4 linked regions of the Saccharomyces cerevisiae S288C genome follow. The protein of the gene in region 4 binds, or shares a complex with, the protein of the main gene of each other region. Each region holds a gene or a part of one and is shown on either strand. Other genes may lie near its edges.

Region 1 (2,614 bases), on a different chromosome or scaffold from region 4:
ATTAGTTAATGGACTATTAGGTCAACCATTACGAAGGGGGTGGGGTTAGTATTTTTGTATTTACAGATATTGAGATATCATACATAAGAAAAAAATTATAATAACGGTAGAAAACGCATATATTTATAAGATGAAAGTTGGGCATGGCCTCCCGATAATCATTGTCTCTTGATTGTATGGTACCTTTTACCTCTGAACCCGGCAATATACATGTTAAATTGATAAACTTCTTGAGGATTCATGTCATTTAATTCCCACTTCGTACTTCCAAATACGTTTCTGACGGGCTCCATTAAGACATCCATTTCCTTACCGTATTTGGATTTGACAAGATTTATGTCGTCCGTTAGGTCTTTCTTATTGAAACCCGTTGTGAAGATAGCACATTTTGTTTCCAGTAATGCCTTCATAGTTTCACCCATCCATGAACCGTGAGATTCTGGAGATGCGTAGCCTGGATGGAAAGTAAAAAAGACATCCATGTATGGATCGTATGGGAAAAAATCTTGAGCCTCATGGAATACTTCGAAAAAGTTTGTACGATAAATGAATTTCAGAGTCTCGTCTACTCTTTGTACTACCGGCGTAGTAGACTTGACGTACTCCTGTTTATCCCTTTTATACAGGCATTCGGGTCCAATGAAATGTATTTCGAAACTCTGCTCTGGGAAAAGAAACTGGAGCTGTTTCCAAACGTGGCCCGGCAATTGAGCTTCAGCACGTGCACCTAGGATGAAAATTCTCATAGCACGGTTCTTAGTTGTGGTTGGTAAAGATCTATTCTCCAACGGATATAAAGTATACCTGAGAGCAGCCAGAGATTTTAGACCTTCTAAGGTGATAGGCCCCTTTGGGTTCAATGAATACGGGGAAAATTTGTGCAGCAAAGACCCAATCGTAATTGGATAGCTTAGCATCTTTGTGACTGCGGCTAATTGGAACTCTGTATCCATGGAATAGAATGATCTTGTGTAGAAAAACAAATCCCAGTTTGTTAGGTTAACGGCCTTGTCGTAGCCTTGCTGTTGGGGAAAATCAAACTCCGGGAAGGGTCTACCGCTTCTTAAGTCATGCTCATAAATATTAACTTTTTTCAGGATTTCATATTTTTTAGAATCGTGATATGCTTTATCCATCTCCCAAGCCTCTCGTGAGTGATGAGTCGGAATTCCTGACAGAGGACAAGTGTAGTTAATATCTTTGCCGGTAACAGGGCAGTGTGCTAGCGTTCTAATCTTGGCGGCCCTTTCACGCAAGTCCACTGAGGGAGACTGATCCCATGGATGGAATCTGTTCTCCGGAGTAGGATCTTCTGGAGAGGGAGGAGGATCCAATCCAAGGGCGTTCCTAACGAACCCCATGAGGTGACGACGTGTTTGGTGAGAGACAACTAGCCTGTTGTGTGGCGACTTCCTTAGCAGATGGAAATATAGCTGAGTAGCACCCGAAGGAGCATATAGCACGGTCATAGTTCTGGAAGTACAAGTTTGCCAAACTACTTTAAGTCCACCTTCGCAATATCTACAGTGTTCTGCGCTTATAAAGTGTAAAAAAACTACAACCAAAGGCCCGCCCTTAGTAGTTGACCAAATATCTACTATTGTCTCTTGTCAGACTCCTTTGGATTATTTTCTTCGAGCCGCTTTTTCGTAGCGCATGATAAAAAGAGCCCTTTCCCCATACTGCACACTTAAGTGAATGCCAAATATAATATCAAGAGCGAAAGGCGGTTGAGTTCCAGCCAAGACGAGCACACACGACACCAGAACGAGATAAACATGCTAGGAAGGGCATTGCGACCTGGGTGGCTGGGCATTACTAGGACGGTGGTTAAGAAACCAAGTTGCGGGTCCTACTTTAACAGAACCTTTCAAACAGCAATTAACACTACAATGCCTCCCATGCAAGAGGGCATGCTGAGTACAATGATGATGATGACGGCTACGGCAACAAGGATCACTGGCACAGTCAGTGAGCCATTAAACGGTTCAAATATAGTGATGCAACTCGATTCAGTGATGAGAAAGAGGAAAAAAAAGATGAAGAAACACAAACTGCGGAAAAGAAGAAAGAGGGAGAAGGCAGAAAGAAGAAAGCTATCTCAGGGTAGATAATAGGGCTGTAAAAACCTCTCACATGTTTTTCTCTGCTGTTTTTCCTTCCCTATTCTTCATATTTTGATATTATTTCATGTATATATTATGTTTGTATTTAGACTTTTTTTTTTATACGTTATACTATGCTAAGAAAACTCTTTACCAAGAAGTAAAGAACCCAGATCGCGATAATAGAAAGCACCAGCAGCATGACCGTGTGGAGTGCTCTTCTAGTAGCAGAATCCTTGTTGAACATCCATTCTTCGTACAAGTACGTAATACACTTGAAGCTGAACTTGCCCATTAACTCGCGACGATTCAACTCTCCAATTTCTGCAACGATGTTGAAGTTCCAATCAAAAATGCCTTCTGCGACGCTAATGATCTGCAACTTTTGTGCTTCGGTCAATTCCGTCCTGGTGGCCAGCTCATAGTTCTTCTTGTATTCCCATTTCAAGCGTGTTTCTTCAGTGGGACCCAGATCGCTGAAGGTGAAGAAGTTTGTGCCCTTTTTGACC
Region 2 (2,658 bases), on a different chromosome or scaffold from region 4:
AAGCTTTGGTCTTAACACTCAACAACAGAATGGACTTATCTTCTGCTGTGTTTGAAATGTGGTAGGTGGTATAGTCGAAATCGGAAACAATTCTGTCCATGGTCAACGGCGAACCCTTGCGAAGTGCCTCTATCGCTTCATTCAGTGTCTTTTGGATGAGAAGGTTTTGTGGTTGTAAGTGTAGCATTGCGGATTACCGTTTTGAGGCAAGAAGATTGCTAGTCTTGTATCTACACTAGTTCCTTTGAACGCTAGTTAGCCCCTATGCTTATAGTATTTCTTGTCAATACAAGCGTCTGAAAATTCAGATCGCTTTATACGAGTAAGTATGCCAAATACACCAAATATACCAAAGCATTGATTGCGTATACTGAGAATACATATATATATATATATATATATATATGTATGGTCATTGCTATTTACAAAAGGTTGTATGGAGTGGGAATATTAGAGAAAAGTAGTCGAGAGGCCAAAGAAAACTTAGAGCGTACTGCGCATCACGATTTACTTGGCTTCTTGGCTCCATATTTCGACCTCGAAGAAATCCTGTTTACCACACCACTCAGGTCACCAGCACCTCTGATAACATGGTACTTCACACCAGGCAAGTCCTGACAACGCCCACCTCTGACATATACAATCGAATGCTCTTGAGCATCGTGGCCCTCACCCGGTATATATGCAGATACCACGTTCCCGTTAGTCAAACGGACCCTGCACGCCTTTCTCTGCGCAGAATTCGGCTTCTTGGGCTTTAAAACCATTACACGTAATACGACACCCTTCCGCTGGGGACACTGATCCAGTTGTGGAGCTGTACTTATCTTCTTGCGTCTTGGAGGCCCGGAGCCTCTTTTAATCTGATTCAATGTCGCTTGCATTGTCGTAGTGGAGGAAAACAATCTCTGCGCCTGTCTCAAGGGCGTACACCATGTGTTGGACATAAACCTCGACAACATGGCTCTTGTTGGCCTGCTTCAATTCTGGTGTACCTGTAAGTTCTCCGTCTTTTCCCTGGTTATATGCGTTTTTTCTCCCCAAATCGTTTTGTCGCTCGGGTAAGACTGAAATGCTTTTAAAAGCACTATTACTGTTTATTATGCTATATATATATATATATACAGCCCGAGTCTGGCTTGATCTTATTTACATGATATATCATCTAGAAATCTATATACACTAGATCCCTCATTTGTTCTTGGTTTGAGTATAGCTGAAACGCTTCCTGGTAGGTGCGAACTCGCCCAGTTTGTGGCCCACCATATCTTCTGATATTTCAATAGGTACGTACTCCTTACCATTGTGTATTTGAAATTTCAGTCCCACGAACTGAGGAAGGATGGTGGCGGCCCTTGCGTTTGTTCTTATTGGAGTGCCCTTAGTCATGGCCTCCCTTATGGGTAATGGCACGATGTTGGGGCCCTTCCATACGGACCGCGATAAAAGTCTAGCTGCCGGTTGCATTTTATTTTTGGTGGACACTACTTCTGCCGATGCTGTACTGCTCTTGCAATGAACCTCACCGTTTTAAGTCATGGTTAGATTCTTACTAGGCGCTTCCAATTGCCATTTCTTGCTCAGCCATAACCGTGAATAGTGATCCAAACGCTAATGCCGGGTGATGCTTAAAATTTGAAAAATTATTGCAGATTTGTATTATATAGAAAGCATAACTGGCGATGAGATGTGCTCGAAACTGGACACCTTTACCATTGGTGACCGGTAGTGACAATGTTTGCATCGAGATTTGACCCTAGCCAATTGACTGCTCCTGCAGCTAGCGCACCAGAAGGAATCGTCGGAACTACTCCCCCGGCCATTGTGCCTTTAAAGAGGCAGGCTACTGAATCTGATAATGAAGAATATGGCTCTCACCAAGATTCTGATGAGAGTTCCAACTCTAGTTCAGAGGAAGACGAAGACCGTATGCAAGTAGATTATGGGGCTAGTGAAGAGGATTCGAGTGAAGTGGAAGAGGAAGAGAGTAAGCCAAGTACTCACAGCACAGTGCTATCGAGATTCAAGCAAACAGTATCATTGCAAGAAAGGCTAGGTGCATCTGATATTGCTGAGAGTAAGGAAGACGAAGGTATTGAAGACGAGGCGGCCTCAACTCACCAACTAAAACAGATTCCTCAACCTGAATTCGTCAAAAACCCAATGAATTTGAATACAAATTCATTACAGTTCAAATCTACGGGTTGGTTAAATACTGAGAAGATATATTATGATAATTCCTTGATCAAACCGTTCTCGGATTACGCAAATGAATTAGAAGCAAAACTACTGCAGAATATTTGCAAGAATTTCTCTACAAACACTTTTCCCATCCAATCGATCATCCTAGACTCCATATTACCGGTATTGAACTTCACGTTGAACGTATCTAAGAGAAACTTCACCAGAAGAATCGGTGATATTCTTGTAAATGCTGCTACCGGTTCAGGTAAAACTTTGGCTTACTCCATTCCTATTGTTCAAACCCTCTTCAAGAGACAAATTAACAGACTGCGTTGTATAATCATCGTCCCCACAAAACTATTGATAAACCAAGTTTATACTACGTTGACAAAGCTAACTCAAGGGACGTCGCTTATTGTGAGCATTGCCAAATTAGAAAATTCTTTGAAGGACGAACACAAAAAATTATCAAAT
Region 3 (3,689 bases), on a different chromosome or scaffold from region 4:
GATGTATAAAAAATAGGCCAACACGATGGCAAAAATCGGAATCCTCCTGATTACCTTGAAGCTCTTATCCACTTGCTCATTAATTACACTGAACATATTGTGGTGACAAGTGTAAGCAAACACAAAAATTGGCAATGTAGTCAGGGGAGAATGAGACTGAGAATCTCCGTGAGGTACCATAAAATATACTTGCCCTCTCTCTAGCTGATGCCGATTTACAAAATGGTAAATAATCAAACCAGATAAATATGCGACACTAACAATGGCAATCATAGAAGCATATCGTAGAGAATTCAAACTTCTTTTAAAGCATAAAGGGGAGATAACAAACACTATGATCAGAGTTATATACAAACGCCTGTCTAAGAACATGTGATGCTCTTGCGAACCACTCATGTTATCATCGTTACGATAAAAAATTGACTGCACTATCTGTGGCACTAAGTCACCAACAATAATTAAGTAAGATACACCAACGCCAAAACATTTAACAGCAATGGCAAAATCGAACACTACACTTATTGACGGATTGATTAGTTGGGTGAGTTTAGCAAACGAGGCGTTCTCAGATTTAGGTACGTACTTCGCTATTCGAGTCTGTAATAGCAGCCCACATAAGGAACATATTCCGCAAAATGTTAGCGTTATCAGACCAGGCATTAACCCAAATGGCTTGAATGCAAACGGCATTGCAAGTACGCCTGCTCCACATGCTGTATGGAGCAAAGTTAAGACTCCCGAACGTACGTTTGACGGCATATTGAGGAAGCTGCTTACTTTTCGTTTCCACTTTATCTTGCTGTTCGTTCGAGCAACAGTATTTATTTCCTTTTTTTGACGATGGAAATAATGGATAAGTGAAGTCATAGAATAAAAAATATACAAAAATTTAACTAAATAGTTACGCATTACCTATTTACAAAGACGGAAATCAATGGCGAAAATTTCACAATATTCAAGAGTTGATGGTACGATTAGTATCCTTTCCTCTTGGCATCTTTAACAATTTCAATCAACCTCTTGAAGCCCATCATGAATTCCTTCCTATGCCTTTGAGATCTCTTCAATTCAGCCACTTTCCCCGGCTTCATGTAAAACCGTTGACTTCTTTTATCTCCGGGAATATTGTTCTCAAACATGATCCTGTTTAATCTCTTAAATGATTCTGCAGGGTTGTTCTTATTCACGATTATAGATTTTCCAGAATTGAATCTCATTTGTGCATTCTCCACGCTACTTCTAGCAATTTCCGCCTCGGATAGAAGCTCCCTCTTGTTTATTCTCCCAGCAGATTGCATCATATCTACTGGAATTTCCATTGATAAAATATCTGCATTATCAGTTTTGCTTTTAGAGGTTTGGCCACGATCGCTGTTGCTTCCCTGAGCTAATTTGATTGGATTTAGTATGATTTTATCGATATCCGAATTTTGTTGGCGTAAACAGTCGATCGTTGTGAAACCTCTTCTGAGAGAGATTCTTGAAAGCCTCAGCGTGCTCTTCAACATTATGGTTATGCTCTTATGGGTGATATTTGACAGATTTTTTACTCTTCAAGGGACCTTTAATGACCTGGTCTCACTTATTTTTTATTTTCAATCTTGGGAAAGAAGCGAACTTAAAAAAGAAAGGAAGCCATAGCAAGAAGCTAATAAGTGGGCTTTTACATCAACAAGTACTGTAGAAGCTCTACCGTATTGAAAAATGACAGACGCTGAAATAGAAAATTCCCCTGCTTCTGATTTAAAAGAATTGAATTTGGAGAATGAAGGCGTTGAACAGCAAGACCAGGCAAAAGCTGACGAGTCAGACCCAGTAGAAAGCAAAAAGAAGAAGAACAAGAAAAAGAAGAAGAAGAAAAGCAATGTGAAGAAGATTGAATTACTGTTTCCAGATGGAAAGTACCCAGAAGGTGCGTGGATGGACTATCATCAAGATTTCAATCTGCAAAGAACCACGGATGAAGAATCACGTTATTTGAAAAGGGATCTGGAAAGGGCCGAACATTGGAATGATGTCAGAAAGGGTGCTGAGATACATCGTCGTGTGAGAAGGGCCATCAAGGACAGAATCGTTCCTGGGATGAAGTTAATGGATATCGCTGACATGATCGAAAATACTACAAGAAAGTATACAGGTGCCGAAAATTTATTAGCGATGGAGGATCCCAAATCTCAAGGTATTGGGTTTCCAACGGGTCTCTCTCTCAACCATTGTGCTGCACATTTCACACCCAATGCAGGCGACAAAACCGTTCTGAAATACGAAGACGTGATGAAGGTAGATTATGGTGTGCAGGTAAACGGTAACATCATTGATTCTGCCTTTACTGTTTCCTTTGATCCACAATACGATAACCTGCTAGCCGCTGTAAAGGACGCTACTTACACGGGTATTAAAGAAGCGGGTATCGATGTGAGATTAACCGACATCGGTGAAGCCATCCAAGAAGTTATGGAATCCTACGAAGTGGAAATCAATGGTGAGACTTACCAGGTTAAACCTTGTCGTAATCTATGTGGCCACAGTATCGCACCATATCGTATCCACGGCGGTAAATCCGTTCCCATCGTCAAAAATGGGGACACTACAAAAATGGAGGAAGGTGAGCACTTTGCCATTGAAACTTTTGGTTCTACTGGTAGAGGTTATGTTACTGCCGGTGGGGAAGTTTCTCATTATGCCAGATCTGCTGAAGACCATCAGGTAATGCCCACGTTAGACAGCGCCAAGAACTTGTTAAAAACGATAGACCGCAACTTTGGGACTTTACCGTTCTGTCGCCGATACCTAGACAGACTTGGCCAAGAGAAATACTTATTTGCGTTGAATAACTTGGTTAGACACGGTTTAGTACAGGATTATCCACCATTGAACGATATCCCCGGATCCTACACTGCACAATTCGAACACACCATCTTGTTGCATGCTCACAAAAAGGAAGTCGTTTCGAAAGGTGATGACTACTGAGGTAAAATGCGCTTTCAAATGGCCTCCTCACTAGGTATATGAATACTGTTGTAGTTATATAGATAGTTTAATATGGCTTGCCGCCCGTTTAGAATGATGCATTACCTTATATAAGACCTATGGGGGTCTCAAACAGTGGTATGACGACAGATAATATAAGCACTAGTTCAGACGAGTAAACAATGAGAATAGTGCCAGAAAAGCTGGTGTTCAAGGGTATGTTTGACGAGAATTGCTAGTGTGCGGGAAACTTTGCTACCTTTTTTGGTGCGATGCAACAGGTTACTAATATGTAATACTTCAGCTCCCCTTAATAAACAATCAACAGAGTATATAAAGCTCGAGAACGATGGTGAAAAGAGAGTTATATTTAAAGTGAGGACTAGTGCTCCCACAAAGTATTGTGTGAGGCCCAATGTGGCCATCATAGGTGCTCATGAAAGTGTAAATGTCCAAATTGTTTTCCTTGGATTACCCAAGTCAACCGCTGACGATGAAATGGACCAAAAACGAGACAAATTCTTGATCGTTACACTTCCTATCCCGGCAGCTTACCAAAACGTGGAGGATGGCGAGCTGTTGTCCGATTGGCCTAATCTGGAAGAGCAGTACAAAGATGACATAGTCTTCAAGAAGATCAAAATATTTCACTCCGTGTTACCGAAAAGAAAACCGTCTGGAAACCACGATGCAGAATCAGCAAGAGCGCCATCAGCAGG
Region 4 (4,217 bases):
TAATGGATAATATATAATTACTTTTTTTATATTATTAATAATAATAATTTATAAATATTGTTATAATAAACATTTATATAAATAAATATAAATTACCATAATAAGATATATTATTTATTAATAATAAAAATATTTATTAATAAATAAGAAATATATATATTATGATAATATTTATTAATAAATAATAAATTCTTTATATATAAATATATTAAATATATTTAATTGAACACAATATAATTTTTATTGTATTATTCATTTAATAATATTAATATTAATATTAATATAATATTAGTGAACATCTCCTTTCGGGGTTCCGGCTCCCGTGGCCGGGCCCCGGAACTATTAATATTTAATAAAATATATATAATTTATAATTTTCATATAATTAATATAATAATTAGGTTTATAAATAAATTATAATATATTATAACAATATAATAAAATATATTATAAATCTATCTATCTATCTATATAATATATAAATTTATATATACATTAATAATATTTAATTATAATTATTTAAATATTTAATTTATTAATATTCCCCGCGGGCGCCAATCCGGTTGTTCACCGGATTGGTCCCGCGGGGTTTATATTATTTAAATATTAAATATTAAATAATAATTTATATTATATTAATAAATATAATAAATTAAAAATATATGATTAATTATATAATAATAATAATAATTATTTTAATATTATAATTTATAAAATTAATTATATTAATTATATTAATTCTTATTATATAATAATTATTAATAATAATTTATTTTAAGAAAGGAGTGAGGGACCCCCTCCCGTTAGGGAGGGGGACCGAACCCCGAAGGAGAAAATAAATTAATAAAAGTTTAAAAGTTCTTATATTAATAATTATATAATATTATATTAAAGATTTTTATAATATATATATATAATATATTTATAGTTCCGGGGCCCGGCCACGGGAGCCGGAACCCCGAAAGGAGTTTATTTAATATTTATATTTATATTAATATTTATATTTATATTTATATTCCTCTTAAGGATGGTTGACTGAGTGGTTTAAAGTGTGATATTTGAGCTATCATTAGTCTTTATTGGCTACGTAGGTTCAAATCCTACATCATCCGTAATAATACATATATATAATAATAATTTTAATATTATTCCTATAAAAATAAAATAAATAAATAAATAATAATAATTAATTAATTAATTAATTTTAATAAATATAAAATATATAAAAATAATAATAATAATAATTATTATTTTAATAATATTATTTATATAATAGTCCGGTCCGACCCTTTTTATTCTTAAGAAGGGATTTTATTTTATTAATTAATAATAATATATTAAAAATTATAAATAATTAATAATTCTTTATATTTATATATATATATATATATTTATATATTTATATATATATTTTAATAATATTATGATATATTTTATTTTAATAATATTTTTATTTTTATATATAAAATTATAATATTTTATTTTATAAATTATTTATATATAAATTATTAATAATAATTATTTTTTTTTATTTGGGATTTATATTATTATTATAAAGAATATAATGTTATTAATAACTGCAAAAAATATCTAATATATTATTATTTATAATAATAAATAATATTATAATAAGGATGCATATTATATATATATATATATTTCTATTTATATTAATATTAATATTAATATGTATATATAATAGATAAAAAGTAAAAATAAAAAATAATGAAATTAAAATTATTAAATATAATTTTATCAATAATAAATAAACTTAATAATAATAATAATATTATTATTAATAATCTATTAGATTCATTAATAAATAAGAAATTATTATTAAAGAATATATTATTAGATATAAATAATAAAAAAATAAATAATATAAAAAGAATATTAAATAATAATAATATAAACCCCGCGGGCGCCAATCCGGTTGTTCACCGGATTGGTCCCGCGGGGAATATTAATAATAAATTACAACATTTAAATAATATAAATAATTGAAATCTACAAATTTATAATTATAATAAAAATATAGAAATTATAAATACTATAAATGATAAATTAATTAATAAATTATTATATAAAATAATAACTTTAAAATTAAATAATATAAATATTAATAAAATTATTATAAGTAAACTTATTAATCAACATAGTTTAAATAAATTAAATATTAAATTTTATTATTATAATAATGATATTAATAATAATAATAATAATAATAATAATAATTATTATATAAATATAATAAATAAATTAATAAATATTATAAATAATAATATAAATAATAATTTATGTAATATTTTAAGTTATTATTATAAAAAAAAAGTAACTATTGAACCTATTAAATTATCATATATTTATTTAAATAGTGATATTTTTAGTAAATATATTAGTTTAAATGATATAGATAAATATAATAATGGTATCTTAACTAATTATCAACGTATATTAAATAATATTATGCCTAAATTAAATGATCATAATATTTCTATAAATTATATTAATAATATTAATAATATTAATAATAATAAATATAATAATATAATTAATTTATTAAATAATAATAATAATATTAATAATAATAATAATTATAATAATAATAATAATAATTATATTGGTAATATTAATAATATTTATAATAATATAACTATTGATAATATTCCTATAGATATTTTAATATATAAATATTTAGTTGGTTGATCTATTAAATTTAAAGGTAGATTAAGTAATAATAATGGTAGAACTAGTACACTTAATTTATTAAATGGTACTTTTAATAATAAAAAATATTTATGAAGTAATATTAATAATAATTATAAATTAAATTATATCCCTTCTAATCATAATTTATATAATAATTCTAATATTAATAAAAATGGTAAATATAATATTAAAGTTAAATTAAACTTTATTTAATATATATATTAATAGTTCCGGGGCCCGGCCACGGGAGCCGGAACCCCGAAAGGAGAAATAAAATAAATATAATAAATAAAATAAATAAATAAATAATATATATATATATATAAATATATAAAATAATATTTACTTTTTATATATATATAATTATATATAAATAAAATATAATATAATATCATATAATTATATAAAAATAAAATTATAATTTATTTATATTAAAAATATTAATTAATTAATTTTTTTATATAATTATTATAATAATAATTTAATTAAAAATAAATATCAAATAAAATTATAAATTAATCCTACTTTTGGATCCTATTTATATTTTATTATTATAAATAATTATTATTGATAGTTAATTAAATAAAAATATATATATATATTACTCCTTCGGGGTCCGCCCCGCAGGGGGCGGGCCGGACTATTATAATTATTATTAATATATTAATTATTAAATTATATAAACCGCCCCCGCGGGGGCGGTTAGTTATTTATATTAATATATTTTATATTAATATATAATACTCTTTTTTCTATTATATTTTAATATATAATATTAAAAAAAATAAATAAAATAATATTCTTAATTTTTATTCTTTATCTTCTTTAACCAAACTCCTTCGGGGTTCGGTCCCCCTCCCATTAGGTTAGGGAGGGGGTCCCTCACTCCTTCGGGGTCCGCCCCCCCCCGCGGGGGCGGGCCGGACTATTTTAAATTTTAATTTAAATTTTATAAATATAATATTTAATTATAAATTTAATAATAATATATAAAAAATATATATATGGTTAATATATATAAAGATTATAATCTTTTTATTAAATAAAGGAAAATTTATTATATAATTTTTCTCTATAGTTATATATTTAAAACTTATTTTTTTTTTTTTATAAATAATAATTATAATAAATAATATTAATTATTTATTATATAATTAATTGGCCCCCATGCTGGGTTCCGGAACTCCTCCTTCTCGCGAGGTTAACACCTATTATATAACTATAACTATAACTATAACTATAATTATAATTATAACTATAACTATAAATATTCATTTTAATAATAATAATAATAATAATATTAATATAAATAGTCGAAGAATATATTTATTTATTTTAATATAAATAAAAAGTTTCAATTAATTTGAATTTGGAATTAAATTATTACTTCATATGGGGTTATGGATTTCGTTCGGAACTCCTCCCTCCTACCTCTATTTATTAATCATAAATCATAAATTATTATTAATTAATAATAATAATTTACTCGAGGTTCATACCTATTTTAA

Evidence for each region.
Region 1: VAR1 (region 4) and QRI5 share a complex: the UniProt entries of both Saccharomyces cerevisiae proteins name them as parts of the mitochondrial small ribosomal subunit.
Region 2: VAR1 (region 4) and MRPS12 share a complex: the UniProt entries of both Saccharomyces cerevisiae proteins name them as parts of the mitochondrial small ribosomal subunit.
Region 3: VAR1 (region 4) and MRP21 share a complex: the UniProt entries of both Saccharomyces cerevisiae proteins name them as parts of the mitochondrial small ribosomal subunit.

The regions. Positions count from the first base shown.
Region 1 is NC_001144.5:550,492-553,105, forward strand, and holds QRI5 (mitochondrial 37S ribosomal protein mS38 QRI5), read left to right. Parts: upstream 1-1,778; coding exon 1,779-2,114; downstream 2,115-2,614. Other genes in the region: MSS51 (Mss51p), read right to left, coding at 159-1,469; HMX1 (Hmx1p), read right to left, coding at 2,233-2,614. UniProt on the Saccharomyces cerevisiae protein: Component of the mitochondrial ribosome (mitoribosome), a dedicated translation machinery responsible for the synthesis of mitochondrial genome-encoded proteins, including at least some of the essential transmembrane subunits of the mitochondrial respiratory chain.
Region 2 is NC_001146.8:693,861-696,518, forward strand, and holds MRPS12 (mitochondrial 37S ribosomal protein uS12m MRPS12), read right to left. Parts: upstream 963-2,658; coding exon 501-962; downstream 1-500. Other genes in the region: ARC35 (Arc35p), read right to left, coding at 1-187; mitochondrial 37S ribosomal protein uS19m RSM19, read right to left, coding at 1,192-1,467; putative ATP-dependent RNA helicase DBP6, read left to right, coding at 1,735-2,658. UniProt on the Saccharomyces cerevisiae protein: Component of the mitochondrial ribosome (mitoribosome), a dedicated translation machinery responsible for the synthesis of mitochondrial genome-encoded proteins, including at least some of the essential transmembrane subunits of the mitochondrial respiratory chain.
Region 3 is NC_001134.8:46,644-50,332, reverse strand, and holds MRP21 (mitochondrial 37S ribosomal protein bS21m MRP21), read right to left. Parts: upstream 1,509-3,689; coding exon 975-1,508; downstream 1-974. Other genes in the region: AVT5 (amino acid transporter), read right to left, coding at 1-759; MAP2 (methionine aminopeptidase), read left to right, coding at 1,705-2,970; phospholipid metabolism-regulating protein SCS22, read left to right, coding at 3,153-3,186, 3,275-3,689. UniProt on the Saccharomyces cerevisiae protein: Component of the mitochondrial ribosome (mitoribosome), a dedicated translation machinery responsible for the synthesis of mitochondrial genome-encoded proteins, including at least some of the essential transmembrane subunits of the mitochondrial respiratory chain.
Region 4 is NC_001224.1:47,176-51,392, forward strand, and holds VAR1 (mitochondrial 37S ribosomal protein VAR1), read left to right. Parts: upstream 1-1,725; coding exon 1,726-2,922; downstream 2,923-4,217. UniProt on the Saccharomyces cerevisiae protein: Component of the mitochondrial ribosome (mitoribosome), a dedicated translation machinery responsible for the synthesis of mitochondrial genome-encoded proteins, including at least some of the essential transmembrane subunits of the mitochondrial respiratory chain.